5 linked regions of the Callithrix jacchus genome follow. The protein of the gene in region 3 purifies or fractionates together with the protein of the main gene of each other region. This does not show direct contact. Links are inferred from orthologs where the notes say so. Each region holds a gene or a part of one and is shown on either strand. Other genes may lie near its edges.

Region 1 (3,515 bases), on a different chromosome or scaffold from region 3:
CTTCTCACTCTACATAAAATTTGACTTCCAGCTTCAACCATGTGATGTTGGAATCTAAAGCACCCTCATGAGTTAATGTCCCTGACAAATCATGCAGACGGACAAACAAGATTGGTGGTCTTTAACTGGTGGTGACAGAAAAGGCTGCAGTTCAGTACTTAAACCTGCACTTAGTGGTCACCTTTCTATCCAGGCAGAGTAACTAAGGAGAGCTATGAAATGTCAAAAGAAAAATAGAGAACAGGACAAAGAGACAATGTCAGCCAAGCCAGTGTAAACCGGTCTGCACCCCTGTATTTCAGCCAAGGGCAGGCAATCCAAAATTACAGACTGCTTTCCTTAACTTGACCAAACAGTGTATTTTTCCTCTGACAATCTTGTCAGGGGTTGCATATCATTGTTCCTAGTAAAATACAAACTCCACCCTCAGAAAAATGTTATATTTTTCAGAAAATATAATACATTAAAAATCACTGATTGCTTTTTCTTCGCCTTTTCTTCCGTGAACGTGCAGGTGTTTGAGTCTTTTGTACTTCTTCTTTTACACAGGATACAGGCTGTTTGAAAACTATTTCATTATCTTTATCATCTTCATCCATTCCAGTCACTTCAGATTTTCGTCTCTCCAAAAATGCTGGTGTACAAACTGGTGTGGGGCCCTAGATTCAACAAGGAAAGATTATAATACATAAATGAAGAACAAGATTATCACTGTACCCGAAACATCACCTCTCTTCTATTTTACAAGTTGTACCACATTATTTTAGTCCTGTTTCAATCTTTTCGTGATACTATTGTAAAGAATAAAGAACTGAGATGCTTATCAAACTTAGTACAGAAATTCGCAATTGGAACATAGCACGTTCCATTATAAGGTATTACGCAGAAAATTGCTAAATCGACAATAAAGATCTACCAAATGTGACAATATTCAATTTGAAATCTTAATACGAGAGTGGCAGAAACTGCCTTTCTTTCTTCAAATTCTTTGTATAAACCTGGTGTCCGGAATATGGAAGACAATCTTACCTGGCTGTCCACAGTCTCCTCAGGAGTGTCAAGAGTGCCGACCACCTTTTTCTTCTTCTTGTGTAAACCCTTAAAATAAATGTTAAAAGACACATCAGGTTGAATATTGATCAGTTATAGTAGTCTTAAATGTTTTCCTACTTATCTTTCTCTAATATTGGGCATACGATAAAAAGCATTTTACCTGGCCTTTTGTAGACTTCTGATGATTAGTTTTTGAAATACTTTCCGTTTTCTGTAAAATCTTCAATAAAGAAATTATAAATTAACAGTCTCATATCTTTTCTTTTTAAACTTAGCATTAGATCCTCATATATATTATCAGTAAATCCTCCCTAATGACAGAGCATTTCAATTTAAAAAGCAAAACTCAATACAGTGAATAATCTCAAGTAAAGGGCAAAACTAGGAGAAGCCCAGCTGAGGAACGGACAGAGACGCAGAGGTTGAAGGGAAGACCCAAATCTGGAGCTCACTGATTCACAGAATCCTGAATTCAGGAGGGTGGAAGCAGGAAGAATGTGCAAAGGCAGGCCACCCTCATCACCCTAAGTCACAAGCAAAGCACAGGGAAAGCAGTGCTTGCATGCCCCTTTTCAAGCTTCACCGTCTCAGTTCCCAGATGGGTTCACAAGAGTAGCAGGGCCTAAGGTTCAGTCAGATTATCTACTTAAAGGACAATTCCTCTTCTGTATAATGGAAATAACAGAATCTGCTCTCATGTTTTAGGAAGAACCTACAATGTTTCAAAAGTTTAGTCAGGCCAGGCACAGTGACTCTCGCCTGTAATCCCAGCACTTTTGGAGGCTGAGGTGGATGTTCACCTGAGATTAGGAGTTTGAGACCAGACTGACCAACATGGCGAAACCCCATTTCTACTAAAAATACAAAAAATTAGCCTGGTGTGGTGGTGCACACCTGTATTCTCAGTGACTCAGGAGGGTAAGGCAGCAGAATTGCTTGAACCTGGGTGGTGGAAGTTGCAGTGAACCAAGATTGTGCCACTGCACTCCAGAATGGGCAAAAGAGCAAGACTCTGTATCAAAAAAAAAAAAATCAGTCAAAAAACTGGCTGGACATGGTGGCTCACACCTGTAAGCCCAGCACTTTGGGAGGCTGAGGTGGGCAGATCACCTGAGGTCAGTAGTTTGAGACCAGCCTGGCCAACATGGAGAAACCCCATCTCTAAAAATACAAAAATTAGCTGGGCGTGGTAGTATGCACCTGTAATCCCAGCTACTTGGGAGGCTAGAGGCAGGCAAATCGCTTGAACCCAGGATGCAGAGGCTGCAGTGAGCCAAGGTTGTGATAAGTACTAGGCTAGGTACTTTACGAGATACAAAGCCACCCCCTCCCCTCCCCACAACAAATCACAAAAAAAGATTTCATGAAGACATATTTACCAAAGAAGGAAAATCATAATTGATTCCCTTCCTAGCTAATTTCTTCCTGAGTAACCTTTCTTTCTTTTTAAATCGCTCCTCCATCCGTAGCTTTTGTGTTAGTGTCCGATTCCGATTATACCGTTTCACTGATGGATGTGACGGCTGCTTAAATGGAACATTCCAGTCTTTAAAGAGTTCTTTATGTACTTTTTTAGGTGGCATAAGACGACCTATTTTTAAAAAGAAAAAACATAAAAAGTTTCAACCAAGTGGTAGGAAAGAGATTTTAATGTTAACTTTAGAATCTCCCCAGTGCCATTCCTCACATAATCATCATGACGTGGCTCACGCCTGTAATCCCAGCTTTTCTCACAGCAATGGAAAATGAATAGACGCTACCTGGGTAGCCTTGTCAGCTGTGAACTTGGGTACCTAAGATGGCCACATGCCACCATGGGCACAGGGAGGCCAGAAACTTCGCTCTGCCTCCCAAGGGCAGCAGGATCTAGAGACGGATGCTCTCTGCACTCTATGGACTGCAGGGTCGGGGCAGCACTGGCTCCTTTCTGCAGGATCAATTTCTAATCTGGAGCTGTCAGTCCTCTACGCCTTCTAGCTTCTCTCGTGTGGAAGAGCTATAGCCATTGCCATTTAGATGGATTCTGCAATGCACTTTCTGACCTTTGCTGCTATCCCCACTTCCCTCAGGATAAATTCTGAACTTGCTGACTTAGAAAGCCTCAGTAACCCAACCTGAAGCCTCTTCCTGCTCCCTCATCTCTTGCTACTTTTCCTCACATTCCCTCACAGCCATATCGCCAGGCACCTCTGGTTTGGCATTCATTGTCCCTCAGCCAGGAATGGTCTGTCTTCACTTCTGTCCCCTTCACCTGGCTGGCTGCTGTTTAGTCTTCAGGTTTCAATGTCAAGGCTATTTCCCCAGATAAGTCTTTCACAGCCCACAAGCATGGGTTAGCTGCTTCTCCTGTGTGTCCCCAAGGTAACTTGTCCAGTTCCATTTAGGGTAAAAACAGCTCTCATGCTGGGAGATTTTAAAATTCCAATTAGAATCTGCTTGTGACACACACTGAAATCCTTACA
Region 2 (3,998 bases), on a different chromosome or scaffold from region 3:
TGTTGACCAGGATGGTCTCGATCTCTTCACCTCGTGATCCACCCTCCTCGGCCTCCCAAAGTGCTGGGATTATAGGCTTGAGCCACCGTGCCCAGCACTTGTCATGCTCTTAACCATCAGTGTAAGAGGGGGCCAGGCTGAGAGCATATACCTCCAGGAAGCGGGAGTGCAGAGTTTCCTCTGTGATGTCAAGCACTTCGGGGTTGTAGATGCTGCCATTGTCGAACACCTGCTGGATGACCAGCCCAAAGGAGAAGGGAGAGATGTTGAGCATGTTCAGCAGCGTGGCTTCACTGGCTCCCACTTTGTCTCCAGTCTTGATCAGCTGCACATCACTCTGAACAAGAAATGGGGGCAGTTAACACCTGAACATCCAGCAGACCCATGGCCACTAAAAAGCCCCCCATTTGGCTGGCTAGCACAGGCAAACCAGGTCCACTCACCAGGATTTCAATGGTGCCCCTGGAGATTTTGGTGGTGATACCTAAAGCCTGGAAAAAGGAGGTCTTCTCTGGCCCCAGACCGGTGTTCTGGGCTGGCACAGTGACTTCACATGGGGCGATGGCACCAGCACGGGCAGCAGCTGGGACCTGAACAAAGACAACAGTGAGAAAAGTGTCTCCACTGAGAATCGTCCGTTTTGCTTTAAGGAGCAAAGATAAAAGCCTCTTTAGCCAGTCCAGTTGTCCCCTTACCTTATTGGCCAGCAGCATGTCCCTGATCTCAGTGAGGTCCTCCTTGGTGAACACAAAGCCCACATTCCCCCGGATATGAGGCAGGAGTCTGCAAAGAGAAGTTTACGGAAAACAATCACCTTTCAGCACCATTTTCCAGAAAGAGGGAGACTCGCACGGAGGAGGGAGGACGAAGCTGCCCCGGGAACTGACTGACTTCTCCAGAGCTGGGTTGTTTTCCAGGTGCCCTCGGATGGCCTTGCGCATCATGGTGTTCTTGCCCATCAGCACCACGGCCTTCCCGCGGAGGGACATGCGGATCTGCTGCATCTGCTTGGAGCCCACATTGTCTGCTCCCACGATGAAGCATTTCGGATAATCATCCAATAGTTGCTACAAAAAAAGCCAGAGAAAAGCCAAGTTTAACAGGAAGAAAGAGGGGGGAAAAATGCCAGGAGAAACTGAAAAACGCCACAATTTGTTTCCATCTCACTCCCTTTCTGATAGGCTTTTGAAGCAAAAGGGAGATTGGGGCCATTCTTCCCACTAGGAGCTACGTTGTAACACTGCCAAACTGGATGACGATTGCTGGGTAGAAACGGTGAAAATTAGGTTTCTACATTCAATCAAGGAGTTTCTCCTTTAATTTCTTAGTTTTTAACTATTCCCAATTATGAGGCATGTTTGATTCACGAAAATGGTTATAAGAGGATAAAAAAGCACTTTGGAGGCCAAGGTGGGCAGATCACCTGAGGTCCAGAGTTCAAGACCGGCCTGACCAACATGGTGAAACCCCGTCTTTAAAAAAAAAAAAAAAAAGGATAAAAAAGGACTATTCCAAATAAGCTGGTCGAGAGGACGGGTAGATTCACAGCTTTCAAAACACAACACAAGCAAATATGCAACATATTACTTGTAAAAAAAAATCTGGGTGTGGATAATTGGATTTTTGTACAGTTCTTTTGGGTTTTGTGTCTGAAAACCTTCGAAGTATTGGAGAATGTAATACAAGCTATGCTTTACAATGCTGCCTAATTGCTTAAGTGCAGTATGGTCAGTGTTTCTGGGCAAGGGGGACCCACCCAAAAGGCCATCCAAAAGAAGAGTCACTGGACACTTCAGTTTCCTGAATGACAGGTCCTAAATATGCAACAACTTGCTTCCTTACAATGAGTCATTCCTGACCTCAGACCTTCTCAAAGATGGAGTAAAAGTGCTCACACCTGTAATCCAAACACTTTGGGAGGCTTAGGCGGGCACATGACGAGGTCAAGAGATCGAGACCATCCTGGCCAACATGGCGAAATCCCTTCTGTACTAAAAATACAAAAATTAGGAGGGCGTGGTGGCGGGCACCTGTAGTCCCAGCTACTCGGGAGGCTGAGGCAAGATAATCGCTTGAACCAGGGAGGCGAAGGTTGCAGTGAGCCGAGATCGCGCCACTGCACTCCAGCCTTGCGACAGAGATTCTGTCTCAAAAAAATAAAAAAGCAAGCATAATGTGCACTCTTTTGGAAGCCAAACAGACTTGGATATGAATGCTGTCATCTTAGCCACCTGCCTGAGCCTGTTTATCTGCAACAGAGGCGACCTATCTCAGGGAATTGTTAATTAAACAGGATTTTCCTGAAAATGGCCTGATTCAGGAGCCGGAACTGAGGAGACCCTCAGCACTTAGCAGCCGACTGTCCCTATCTGAGCTGGGGAAACATGAAGGGCAGCGGCGACCCAGCCCACACTTACGATGATCTTCAAGAAGTAGTTGGACTTCCAGGTCGCCCTGTCTTCCCTGGGCATCACGGCGGTGCGTCAGGGATTGCCACGCAGGGTTTAAAGACGCTGTCACTGAGGAGAGATAGGGAGCTCAGGCCTGGTCACCCCGGCACCCATCCCCCGGTCCCAGACCTATATGGAGCAGGACACGCGCAAGCGCCCGGCGGCCCGGCCTGGGGCAGCCGCTGCCACCTCGGGGAGTGCGAGCCATCACCGAGGCCCCAGGGGGAGCAGGAGAGGACTCCATGTTCCCAAAAGGCCCCCAAAGATCCCTCCAAGCTTCCCGCCTCTGGCCCCTGGCGCCGATCGGCTTGACGCACAAACCTTCCACGAGGACGCCTGGCGAGAGAAGGGCCGCAGGCTAGAGCGTTCATTTTATATGCGAACAAAGTAGCCAATCAGAAACCGCGGATAAACGCCCCCACTTATTGGCTGGCGACATCGCTCGTTCGACAAAGCCGAACGAATACAAGCAGCCATTGGATAATATTGCTGCCACTTCAGTTAACGGAAGCCGCCTTTAAGTAGGATCGTGAAGGAAGGAGCTGCCTGGCGTTGGAGGCGCTTGCTCTGAGCTGCTGCCACCTGCTGGGCTGGAGCTGCCTTCTTGTAGGCGCTAGAGTAAGCTAATTGGGAGTTCGCTCTGCCACCTGGCCAGCTCAGCAAACTAAACAGCGTGACATGGGGCTGAGACATAATTGCAATGCTTAGAGCAGAATGGTCTCTTGGTTTCTCTAGTTTGTTTTTCCTCCTACCAAAACAGAGGGATACTTTTAAAACCTGGCCGGCCGCGGTGGCTCCTGCCTGTACTCTCAGCACTTTGGGAGGCCAAGGCCAGTGGATCACCTGACACGGTCAGGAGTTCAGGACCAGCCTGGCCAACATGGCGAGACCCAGACTGTCCTAAAAATACAAAAATTAGCCGGCTGTGGTGGCGCATGCCTGTAATCCCAGCTACTGGGGAGGCTGAGGCAGGAGAATCGCTTGAACCCGGGATACAGAAGTTGGCAGTGAGCCAAGCTCGTGCCATTGCACTCCAGCCTGGGCGACAGAGAGAGACTCCGTCTCAAAACAAAACAAAACAAAATTAAAAAAACCCTTAAGTCAGCTCATCTCCTTATCTTCTCAAAACTTTCCGTTTCCTACAGAGTAAAACCTAAAATCTAAACTACCTACAAGGCCCTACCTATCTGCCCGTCATGCCCTCTATAATTATCTCAGATGTTTTCCCTCTGACTTATTTGCTTTCCAGCCAGATGATGCTCTGCTGCTTTTCCAAAGCAGGCTTCACTGGAGGGCTTTTGCATTGGCCATTTCCTCTTCCTAGAAAACTAGCCAACAAACATCCACAGAGTAATTCATCTCCATCAGATCTTTTTTTTTTTTTTTTTTTTTTTTAGGAGTTTCTCTCTGTTGCCCAGGCAGAATGCAGTGGAGCAATCTCAGCTCATTGCAGCCTTGACCTCCCAAGTAGCTGGGACTACAGGTGCACACCACCACGCCTGGCTAATTTTTTGTATAGATGGGATTTCGCCATATTGCCCAGGTTGG
Region 3 (3,515 bases):
ATTAAATTTGTAAAATATTTAATATTTCTCGTGTTTTAAACAGCAGTGAGTACCTATTTAGGGTTCTTATTAAGATAAGTTACTAGGTATAAAGAGCTTAAGAAGGAACCTGGCACATTGTAAGCACTTACTCACGTTAACTGCCATTGATAGTAGCAATAATATCAGTGTGTGCGTCTAGTGAATATCAGCATAGAGTTGTGGTTAGGAGTATGGGCACCTGAGCCAGACTGCCAGGGTTCTAATCCGCAGACTACTGCTTCGTAGTTGGTTAGCTTTAGGCAGTTATTTAGTACCTCTGGTTTCCATGTCATTGTTTGTAAACTGGAAGTAGCAATGCTAGCTACCCCATAGGGTTATCCTGAAAATTAAATTGAGCTGATGCTGATGAAGCCGGTAGCACAGTGTAAACACTCAATAAATGGTAGGTATTATGGCATTATTATTTTTTCGCTTTAATTCCTCTTTGTGCTTTTAAAAATCTTTTAGGCTGCTGTTTCAGTGAAAAAACAAACTCAAAGTGCTTTTTCCCATTCTCTCACTTCACAACAACAATCAACACAGAAGACTTCTGTAACCAAATGTGTGGTAGTTTTCACCACATATCAAGCAGTAGACACCAGCTGGGTGTCCTCTAATTCAGTTTCATTTTCTGATGCTGTCTTCCTGGAGATAGTCTCAGATCCCACAAGATGTCCCTCCTTCTCACGACCAGCCAATAAGTCCGGACCTCTAGAACCTCTGACCAACCAGCTTCAAGTTGGGGTTCCCATGACCCCTCTCTTTGGGTTCAATTAATTTGCTATGGCAGCTCTCAGGACTAAAAGAAACACATTTACCAGTTTATTATAGAGGATATTACGAAGAATATAGATGGGGAGCTGTATAGGCTGAGGGTACGCCATGCCTGTCCTGAGTATACCACCCTCCAAGAACCTCCACATACTAAGTTTATTCAAAAGTTCTCCAAACCCTGTCCTTTGGGGCTATTAATGGAGACTTCATTAAGATGATAAATTAAACCATTGGCCTTTGGGAAGGAAGGCTGAAAGTCCCAACCTTCTAATCCTGCCTTGGCCTTTCTGGTGACCAGCCCCCATCCTGAAGCTACCTAGGGGGCTATCAGCCATCAGTCAGTAGTTTGTCATTAGCATACAAAAAGACATTACTTTGGAGATTCCTTTGCCAGGAAACAGGGATGAAGAGTAAATATATATTCCAGGGTATCACAGGTGCCAATTTTGGTTTAGCAAGTCTCTATATACTCTACCCTTTTTGGGGGAAGTAGCTGGGTCAACCTTTGTGGAGTCAAGATGAATCAAATGCAGTCCCAGCCCCTAAGAAGTATTGGATCCAGCAGAGGAGGTGAGATGACCACAGCCATAATTTAAGGTAGAAGTTATTAGAAAATTACAAAATACAATGGAAGAGAGAGGTAACTTCTGGTTTGGGAGTCTGGAAAGTACTTTCTAAAAAGATGCCTGGCATTTAAGGTGGAGAGGATTTGGACATGTAGAGGCAGAAAAAGAAGGAGCAAAGAAATGGGCAATGTTCAAGGGCACTTGGCTTAGAGTGGTAAGAGGAGATGTGTTGGGAAAGGAGTAGTTGCTGAGGCTGGTGGGGTAAGTTGGGGGCAAGTTGCTGAAGGCCCTGAGTGTCAAGTTGAAGACACTCTAAGACACTTTTATCCTCTAAACAAAGAATGGCAAATAAATCTCATTTCTAGAACTCTTATGAACGGTTCATAAAGTACTGCTTAAAGTACTATATCGGAAAAGATACCTAGATGTTATCTGGGTCCAGTGGAGAAGACTGTTGTGCTTGATTAATGCTGTGTGCCAGAGGCTCAGTGAATGTCAGTAACCATGCCACGTTACCTATGGCTAATATATATATTGGATTAGTATAACCCAGTGATTAACATGGTCTGTGGAGCTGGGCTGCTTCACTTTAAATCCTGGATAATAAGTGACTGCTGTGGTCTGGCTGCATGGTCCTGAGGACCTGAACCAGCAGGAGCATGGGAGAGGAGAGCCTGCACAGTGAATGGGCTAAACCTGGGAATATTTTGAATGTGGGATTAAGAGAGGAGGGTTAGATTGCTTTACAATGCTGCAGAGGTTTCTACCTGCCTGGCTGGGAGGGAGGAGGGTCCAGCTTGGGGATGTGGCCCTGAGGAAAGGACCAGTGTTTGGCAGTGGCCATGTTTTGATCTCCCAGTTCTTCCTGTGGCAGGTCCCACGTACCTCAGAGATATATGTACACCGAAGTGGTCGAACTGCTCGAGCTACCAACGAAGGCCTCAGCCTGATGTTGATTGGGCCTGAGGATGTGATCAACTTTAAGAAGATTTACAAAACCCTCAAGAAAGATGAAGACATCCCACTATTCCCCGTGCAGACAAAATACATGGACGTGGTCAAGGTAGAGAGCAAAGTTAAAAGCCCAGTGCTAATGAAGGGATTGTGCTGCTCCCTCACAGAGCACCTCACTGTGGGGCTCTGGCAGCATAACCCTTGAAAACTAAGGAATGGTTCTGCCAATGGCTGAACAAAGAGACTTGTAGAAAGGATTGAGAGCAACATGCCTGGGAAAAGGGAGAAAAGGGGAGTGACTGAAGGTGTGAGGCATTTTCTCCCTGAACCATTTCTTCCTTGTCTGGCCATGAAGTTCCCCCTCCTCACTGGACAGTGCAGTGGTTGGCTGCCTGGACATTCTCTCAGAGGGTTGTAGACAGTGTGGTTAGTTTTCTTGCTGAGGTGGATGCTACAGGTTTGGCACATCCCTGAAGCAGGTGCCAGTAAATTCTGTCTTTGGGGTTTTATTTTAACTCAGGCATTAACCAGGTGAGTGCTGCTTATTGAGGGACACTGTGTTAGGGACCAAAGTGGGATGGGTTCTCCTCCCAGAGGTTTGCCAGCTGTGAATATTAAGTTCAGTTACAATGGAGCCATGTGGAATCACTGGGCATGTGGTTATATTGGGAGGAGAAGATGTTCTCTCCAAGCTTCCTGAAGGCAAATATGTGGAAGGGTACAGAGGAGATGGAATACCAGGAATTGAGGGGGCAAAAGCATGGAACAATTCAAGGACTGTTGGCTTCTCTCGAAAGAAATATTAGCTGTGTGGGGAAATAGGGTGGAGATAAGGATGGAAAGGTGGAAATCATAAGAGAATTCCCATTAGTAAGCAGGGTTAGGAGCTACCCAGACTTCCCACGGTTCCTTTCCCCACATTACAAGATCTTTCTCATTTTCTCAGGACATCTTGCCACTGCATTGTAGCCCTAAAACCCCCTCGAGGGAGAATTGAAATGTTTTTTTTCTTAGCTCAGCTATAGAAGCCAGCTGTTGTAAGACTTCACTTTGGTTACCTATAGGCTGGCAGTCAAACCAGTAAGGGTTTTCAAAGGATGTGGCTGTTAGGTTGATTGTTGGGAATGTTGGCGGTTGTGCTTACATGTGTACACACAGATTTACACAGGGTAATGGTTGCCCACTGGGCTTTATCAGGAA
Region 4 (3,515 bases), on a different chromosome or scaffold from region 3:
CAGGAGTAGCGGCACATACCTGTAGTCCTAGCTACTTCAGCGACTGAGGCAGGAGAATTGCTTGTGTCCAGGAGTTCAAGGCTGCAGTGAGGTATGATTCTGCCACTGTTCTCCACCCTGTCTCAAAAAAAAAAAAAGCACTAAGCAAAAAAAATTTTTAACTGTATATAACTGAAGATCATATTCATGATCTTGATTGTGAATATCTTGTTTTATTTGTCCGTTCTGTTGATGGACATTTGTGTGAGTCCTGCTATTCTTTTGCCGTGGGCATTCCTGGAAATGCATCCTGGTGCACACGGACACGTGTTTTAGTTTCTTGCCAGAGTGGTATTGCTGGGTACAAGGCTGTTTAACCTTCTAAGCTTCATTGCTCTGATTCCTGCTTTTGTTTTTCCACCACAGGTTTCAGTTCCCGTGGGGGTGGCTTTGGCGGCCGAGGGGGCTTTGGTGACCGTGGTGGTCGTGGAGGCCGAGGGGGCTATGGTGGGGGCCGAGGTCGAGGTGGAGGCTTTAGGGGTCGTGGACGAGGAGGAGGAGGAGGTGGCGGCGGTGGCGGTGGCGGTGGTGGCGGCGGCGGCGGAGGAGGAAGAGGAAGAGGTGGTGAGTAAGGTTGGCGAGGGGTTATGGAGGAGGCCTTCCTGGGGCCGGGAGTGGGGAGGACAGAGATGCAGGGTCTTCCTCTCCTGTTGTGCCTCACCTTTATAGGTGGAGGCTACCATTCTGGTGGCAACCGGGGTCGTGGTCGGGGAGGAAAAAAAGGAAACCAGTCGGGGAAGAACGTGATGGTAGAGCCACATCGGCATGAGGGTGAGTGAGGAAGCCCAGAGCCGGCTGAGCTTCGGGGCAGGAAGGGGCCGGGGGTCCTCAGGCCTGCTCTGATCCCCTCAACCAGGTGTCTTCATTTGTCGAGGAAAGGAAGATGCACTGGTCACCAAGAACCTGGTCCCTGGGGAATCAGTTTATGGAGAGAAGAGAGTCTCGATTCCGGTGAGACCTGGGATCCTGTCCAAGCCCCCAGGGGCACAGCTGAGGGTGTAGCCAGTAGTCTGGTGTGTCTGCCTTCACCCTGTGTCCTGCACATGACAGCTGGAGGACCATCATAATATGTAAACCACACTGTCTGCTCCCTTCCTCACCCGCCTTCTGTGACCCCCCACTGCCTTCAGGTTACAGTCCTGACTTCTTCACTGTGGCCTCCAAGGCCCTGCACATTCTAGTTCCCCCTCCCTGCTCCCTGGCCCTGTCTACTCCTGTCCCCCTGACCAGGTGCCCTTCAGCCACCCTGGCCTTGCTGTTCCCACTCCAGCTCTGTGGAGGCTGCTTTCTTATCATCTGCTTCTCCAGGCTGCCTCACACCACCCTGTGTGTTGAGGCAGCCCTCACCATGCTGCCCTGTCCTGTTACCCCATGTCATTTTCTTTGAGGCCAGGGGCCTTTCCTAATGGCTTTACCTCTCCTGGGAATGTCCTTCCTCAGATAACTCGAATGGTCCTTTGTCTCCTTTGGTGGTCTGATTCGGAATCTGCCTTTCACTCCGTCCCTGGTCCCCTTTCTCACTTTCACCTGCTCCTTGCCCTGCTTTCCAAACTTTGTATCTTCTTTCCTGGCTTCGTCTTCTCTCCTTGACACCTGTCACCATCTCATATGCCATGTTACCTTTAGTTAGTTTGGTGAATACTCATGCCTTCTGAGCAGGGATCCTTGTCTTGTATCCCCAGGGCCTAGAGCAGGGTCTGGCCCACAGTGGGTGCTGGCACGGTGCATTTGTTGAACGAGTGCTGCTTTTACTGTTACTCTGTGTGTATTCTGTTGCTGCCCCTTGAGTCAGTGACCTCCATGAGAGCAGCGACTGCATGTGTCATGGTCACTGCTCTGTATGCATGTGGGGTTCTTGTGCAGTGATAGAACGGCCCAGTTCCTTTCAAGGGCCTCGGGGTTAAGGGCAGGGAGGTCTTGCAGAAGAGTCTAGCACTGACTTTCATCCCCATCTCTCTTGGTCTAGGAAGGAGACGACAAGGTCGAGTACAGAGCCTGGAACCCCTTCCGCTCCAAGCTGGCAGCAGCAATCCTGGGTGGTGTGGACCAAATCCACATCAAACCGGGGGCCAAGGTGCTCTACCTCGGGGCTGCCTCGGGCACCACTGTCTCCCATGTCTCTGACATCGTCGGTCCGGTGAGTGGGTGGATAGAGAGTCGGGCAGGAGGCAAAGGCTGCCTCCCCTCTGCCAACCTAGAATATCAAGGTTTGACTGTTTGCCCGTACTGTGTGACTTAGGGCAAGGCCCTTTTCTCTCACAGCGCCTTCGAGTAAAAGGAGCAGCTTGAACCCGATAGTGTCATTCAACCTTGCTCCTGGGTTCTTGGCCTCAAGGCAAGAGATGTGGGTGTGGGGTAGCCAACCTTAGAGAGACAGCTGGAAGTATAGATACCAGACTATTTGATTTGATGGCCCTCTTTAAAATGTGATGCCCCTAAAACCTGCTCTTTTGGTTTCTTTAGAAAGAACCAGGAGATCTCATGGTTTCTGAGCCTGCATTTCTGTGTGGTTGTATAATAGGCTTCCCATTTAAAGGGCCCCCGGCACCTGCATGTCACACTCTGGTACCCTTTGTTACATGTTTATAAGCTGTTGAGTGTAGTGCCTTAAAACCCTGGGCTTTGGCCAGGCGAGGTGGCTCATGCCTGTAACCCCAACACTTCGGGAGGCTGAGGCAGGTAGATCACTTGAGGTCAGGAGTTCGAGACCAGCCTGACCAATAGAGTAAAACCCCGTCTCTGCTGAAAATATAAAAATTAGCTGGGCATGGTGGCGTGTGCCTGTAATCCCAGCTACTCGAGAGGCTGAGACAGGAGAATTGATTGAACTTGGGAGGCAAGGTTGCAGTAAGCCAATATTGCGCCACTGCACTCCAGGCTAGGTGACAGAGCAAGACTCTGTCTCAAAAAAAAAAAAAAAAACCCTCAGGCTTTAATCAGGAAAGTTACCTAACCCATCCAAGCCTCAGTTTACCTCTCTGGAACATAGACTTGTGAAAATTATATGAGTTAATTTCCATAAGGAGCTTAAAGCAGTGGTTGACTTGTTACTTCATCTCTGTGCCTCCTGGTTTTAACCCTTTGTTGGGAGCCTAGGCTCTCAGATCAGGCAAATGGATTGGGTACTATTGCTACCTGATGAATAACCCTTGGCCAGTGACTTTATGTCTCTGGACCTCAGTTTATTCATGTGTAAAAAGGACATGATAACAATAGTGGTAGAGTTTTGATTTTGGGGTGGGAAGAGATGCTACACATAGTGTATGGGCCTAAAGTAGGCACTCCATACATGAAAACTAGCATCATGATTGTTCTTTAATTTTTAATTGATTTTAGGATGGTCTCGTCTATGCAGTTGAGTTCTCCCACCGCTCTGGCCGTGACCTCATTAACTTGGCCAAGAAGAGGACCAACATTATTCCTGTGATTGAGGATGCTCGGCACCCACACAAATACCGCATGCTCATCGGTGAGCG
Region 5 (4,114 bases), on a different chromosome or scaffold from region 3:
CTGAGGCAGGAGAATTGTCTGAACCCGGAGGCGGAGGTTGCGGTGAGCCAAGATCATCATGGCACTCCAGCCTGGATAACAAGAGTGAAACTCCATCTCAAAAAAAAAATCACTGATAATTCTAGGTTTTCCTAAGTGTTTTCAGTGCCTTATTTCCATATGCCTTTCATCATAACTATAGAAGTTAGAACGAATCTGTATTATTATTACCATTTTATAGAAGACAGTCTGAAAGGCTAAGTGACTTGCCTAAGCGAACACAAAGCTGACTCAGCCTGGGACTCCTTTCACTAAAAGAAAATGCCTCCTAAGGGTCATAAATTATCTCCTGAATCATTGATTTTTAAAAGTCCTGGTCCTGAATTTTAAGAACCCCTGAAATTCAACAGCTATACTCTAATTCAGTTATACTCAAAGGTATGATCTACAGACTTGCAGTATCAGCATAAACTCTAAGTCTGTAAGAAATGCAATTCTTGGGCCCCACCCCAGACCTACTGAATCACAATTTCTGGGATGAGGGACAGAAGTCTGTTTTACCATGCTCAACAGGAGACTCTGAAGTACAGTAAGTCTGAAAAGCAGGTCATTAGTCTATTTATCAACCTCAAACAGCTTAACTTTCTGCATATACTCACATCCACTTAGCTATTTCTGGTTCAAATCACAGACAATTGGCTAGTCTTCATATACCATTCACTCTCCAATATCCTTTAAAGAACTCATTCTACAAAAGTGACTTATATTTAGTGTGTGTGTGTGTGTGTGTGTGTGTGTGTGTGTGTATTCTGGAGACAGGGCCTGACTCTGTCACCCAGCCTAGACCTCTTGGACTCAAGCAATCTGATCCTCTTGCCTCAGCCTCATAACTAGCTGGTTCTACAGGCATGTGCCTCCATGCCCAGCTAATTTTTGTATATATATATATATTTTTTTGTAGAGAAATGGTTTGCCATGCTGCCCAGGCTGGTCTCTTGGGCTCAAGCAATCCGCCCACCTCAGCTTTCCAAAGTGCTGGGATTACAGGCATGAGCCACTGCAACTAGTTACTTACAATGCTTACCTGACCAAGTCCCTATCCAATTTAAAATCTTCAAAGGCTATGTATCAGTTTTTTTTAAAACTCCCCACTCCAAAATCAGAAAAAAACTGACAAATGAAATAAACAGGAAGTTTCACAATTAAGAAAGTACAATTAGCCCCCAAACACGTGAAAAGATATGCAACCTCACAGGTGATCACAAAATGCAAATTAAAACTACAACCAGATACCATTTCATACCTACCAAAATTAGAGAAATTCAAAATTCGGATAATATCACGTATTCGTACGAATGGAAGGCAATGAGAACTTTCATTCACTGCTAGTAGGGACAAAACTGACACAACCCCTTTGGAAAAAAAAGTTAGCATTACTTACACACAACCTACACTTCAGTGATTGCAATCCTATGTTCATAACCTAGAGAAACCCTTGCTAACCAGAAGACATGTACCACGATGTTTTAGCAGTATTGTTTATAATTGTAAGCAATGTGAACAATCCAAATGTCCACCAACGGTAAAATGAAAAAATAAATTGGGGTATATTCATTCAAGGAAACACCATGTAACAGTGAAAAGACTAAAACTACACCTACGGGTATTACCCTGTTTGAAAAACAGAAAGCTAAACCTTAGAAGACACAGAAAAATGCATACAGTCCACTTTGATGTATAAAATTGAAAATGACGCAAAATTAAGCCACTTCGTGACTACAAGAAGAGGAAAAGAAAATAATACAATTCAGAGTGGTTACTTCTGAATCTGGAAAAGAGAATATGATCTGAGAGGTGTACATAAGGGTTTGAGGGGTATAGTAATGCTTGCTCTATTCTACTTAGTAGTCTGAATGCTAGGTTCTTGCATGTTTTTATTATTTAAACTGTATATAAGTTGTAACCTCTGCTATTTACATTACATAACCACTTAATGAGCCACAACAAAAAAACCTTTACTACTTTCCCAATGTATCTAAATTGAGAGTTCGATGTTTTTAACACTTCCTATAGCCTGGTTGAGCAGGTCCCCAGGCTATTTCTCTGACTATCTCTGTCACTCATACTGAAGAAAATGGGTAAAACCAGACTATAACGCAGGAGTTAATTGAAAGGTAGCACAATCTAAAGAGTAAGAACTGTGTCGTCTAATATTTTAGCAATATGACACAGGAATAATTGATAAATCTATTAAAATTTCTTTACTGACAAACTAAAGCTAAGGGCATGTCAGCTCCTTTCCCCACATCTCACTCCATTATCAGGGTCCACACCTGTATGTCATGACTACCTATTTCCACCTCACCCTATTTCTCATTCCGTCAGTGACTTTCGGCCACCCGCGCGCTACCAGGTTCCGCAGCGCCCTGGACATTTTCTCAACCCTCATCCTTTTACAGAATACGCATTCCGCAAGAGCTTCGCTTGGGGGACCCTTCAGCAAAAGAAATAGTTAGGAACACGTGGGTGACACCATATCGGCTAGTCGTTCCGGTGGGCCCGGCTAACAATCTTAATCATCAGCAATTCCGGTACTTAACTACAAAGAACAGGCTCCAGGTGGTTTTATAAGTCAACAAACAACGAAAGAAACATCGCAACTCAACGTCCACAAACCCCAGGCTTCGGTTCCCACATAACATCACCTTGGTTATCCGGCTTCAGCTTCTGGTTACGAAATTCACTTTTTCCAGCAGCTTTTTCTGGCCGCTCCAGCGAGGAAGACGCCATTTTAAAGCTGCTTCCGGTGGCGCCGGATGTGTAACTGTTTTTAAGTCCTACGTGCTAAAATACCCACACTCAAAATGAGTTCCTCGGAACTCAGACGAGGAGACCTGCGCAGTCTCCGTGCGTACGTGCGTTAAGGCCCGCGTTTTTGCCCAACCCACAGCTTCTCCTACTTGGCCAATTGAAGAGCCGGAAACCTTCTCCCAGGATGCACTGCAACCATGGAGTTTGCGTACTGGGAATTGTAGTTTAGCAAGCGGTGCAGGCAAATTGGATAGTAATCCGTAGTTTCCTCGGCCTCACGTTGTAACCTGGACCACCGGACTGCGGAGTGCTACCAGGCTGTCATGGAAGTCGTTTATTCTTTTGATGAATATTTAGATGATGGCCAAATATGCACTAGATATCGGGAGGAAATAAAAATACGAGAATATAATTTATATGGGTCTCACTGCAGGAAGTGACAGGAATAGCTACTATTTATTGTGAAAAATATGTTGGCTTTACAAGAGGAAATAGTACCTATATATACTTACTAAAAATTAAAATTGACAGTCAAATTAAATGAGAACAATATTTCAACAATTTGCTTAGACTATGTTTTAAGCAATTTCGAAGAAAACTTTTAAAAATAAATATGGTATGGAATAAATAAATTCGACTAGTTCTAAGAATTAAACATTGCAATCAATATTACATATGAAAGTTTTAAACTTTTAAAACCTCTAAACAATAGTTTCCACGTGTGAGAACTGTGTGCTCTAGATTCCTTTTTTTGGAAAAGGACAGATGATCTAATTTCAACATCTTTCAAAAATGCATTAGAATTGAAAGAACGATTTCAAATAAATATTGACTAATAACTAAATATCATATTTATTGAATACATATTGAAAATAAATATTGAAAAATCTCTTAAAATCATCTTAGAAGACTAGAAACTCAATAGTGATGATCAAAATGATGGTGTCCAAATTTTCATCTCAATTTCAGTGACTCACTGATTCAAAATAATAATTTAAAATTTAAAATGATGAGAAATAGTGTAAGAAAAATAAAAGATATAATAGAGATGGGGAAAATATTCACAAAACATTTAATGGGTTGATTACAATAATATTCAAGGTGATAAAAAGATGTAAGCAATTCAATAGAAAAATAAGGAAAACATATTAGTAGATATTTGTGATGGTTAATTTTTATTGTCAACTTCACTGGGTAATGTTATCCAGATATTTGATCGAACATTTTTATGGATGTTTCTGTGGGAGTGCTTTTGGATGAGATTAACATTCAAATCAGTGAACTCTGAGTAAGGCAGATTTTCCTCTATACTGTGGGTAATCCT

What was found.
Region 1: the proteins of DDX24 (region 3) and NIFK purify together in Homo sapiens (affinity purification with mass spectrometry; 3 studies listed by BioGRID and IntAct, counting the BioPlex papers as one, with this or other methods). This does not show direct contact. The link is inferred for Callithrix jacchus from reciprocal best matches to the Homo sapiens genes DDX24 and NIFK.
Region 2: the proteins of DDX24 (region 3) and RPLP0 purify together in Homo sapiens (affinity purification with mass spectrometry; 3 studies listed by BioGRID and IntAct, with this or other methods). This does not show direct contact. The link is inferred for Callithrix jacchus from reciprocal best matches to the Homo sapiens genes DDX24 and RPLP0.
Region 4: the proteins of DDX24 (region 3) and FBL purify together in Homo sapiens (affinity purification with mass spectrometry; 3 studies listed by BioGRID and IntAct, with this or other methods). This does not show direct contact. The link is inferred for Callithrix jacchus from reciprocal best matches to the Homo sapiens genes DDX24 and FBL.
Region 5: the proteins of DDX24 (region 3) and KRR1 purify together in Homo sapiens (affinity purification with mass spectrometry; 3 studies listed by BioGRID and IntAct, with this or other methods). This does not show direct contact. The link is inferred for Callithrix jacchus from reciprocal best matches to the Homo sapiens genes DDX24 and KRR1.

The regions. Positions count from the first base shown.
Region 1 is NC_133507.1:106,278,395-106,281,909, forward strand, and holds part of NIFK (MKI67 FHA domain-interacting nucleolar phosphoprotein), read right to left. Parts: intron 2,645-3,515; coding exon 2,433-2,644; intron 1,274-2,432; coding exon 1,214-1,273; intron 1,099-1,213; coding exon 1,030-1,098; intron 660-1,029; coding exon 471-659; 3' UTR 1-470.
Region 2 is NC_133510.1:123,328,282-123,332,279, forward strand, and holds the start of RPLP0 (large ribosomal subunit protein uL10), read right to left. Parts: upstream 2,801-3,998; 5' UTR 2,768-2,800; intron 2,520-2,767; 5' UTR 2,472-2,519; coding exon 2,418-2,471; intron 1,068-2,417; coding exon 892-1,067; intron 784-891; coding exon 696-783; intron 591-695; coding exon 444-590; intron 338-443; coding exon 152-337; intron 1-151.
Region 3 is NC_133509.1:128,875,619-128,879,133, reverse strand, and holds part of DDX24 (ATP-dependent RNA helicase DDX24), read left to right. Parts: intron 1-2,235; coding exon 2,236-2,424; intron 2,425-3,515. UniProt on the Homo sapiens protein: ATP-dependent RNA helicase that plays a role in various aspects of RNA metabolism including pre-mRNA splicing and is thereby involved in different biological processes such as cell cycle regulation or innate immunity.
Region 4 is NC_133523.1:35,090,766-35,094,280, forward strand, and holds part of FBL (rRNA 2'-O-methyltransferase fibrillarin), read left to right. Parts: intron 1-405; coding exon 406-603; intron 604-708; coding exon 709-810; intron 811-895; coding exon 896-990; intron 991-2,005; coding exon 2,006-2,176; intron 2,177-3,375; coding exon 3,376-3,508; intron 3,509-3,515.
Region 5 is NC_133510.1:78,158,896-78,163,009, forward strand, and holds the start of KRR1 (KRR1 small subunit processome component homolog), read right to left. Parts: upstream 2,806-4,114; 5' UTR 2,770-2,805; coding exon 2,685-2,769; intron 1-2,684. UniProt on the Homo sapiens protein: Part of the small subunit (SSU) processome, first precursor of the small eukaryotic ribosomal subunit.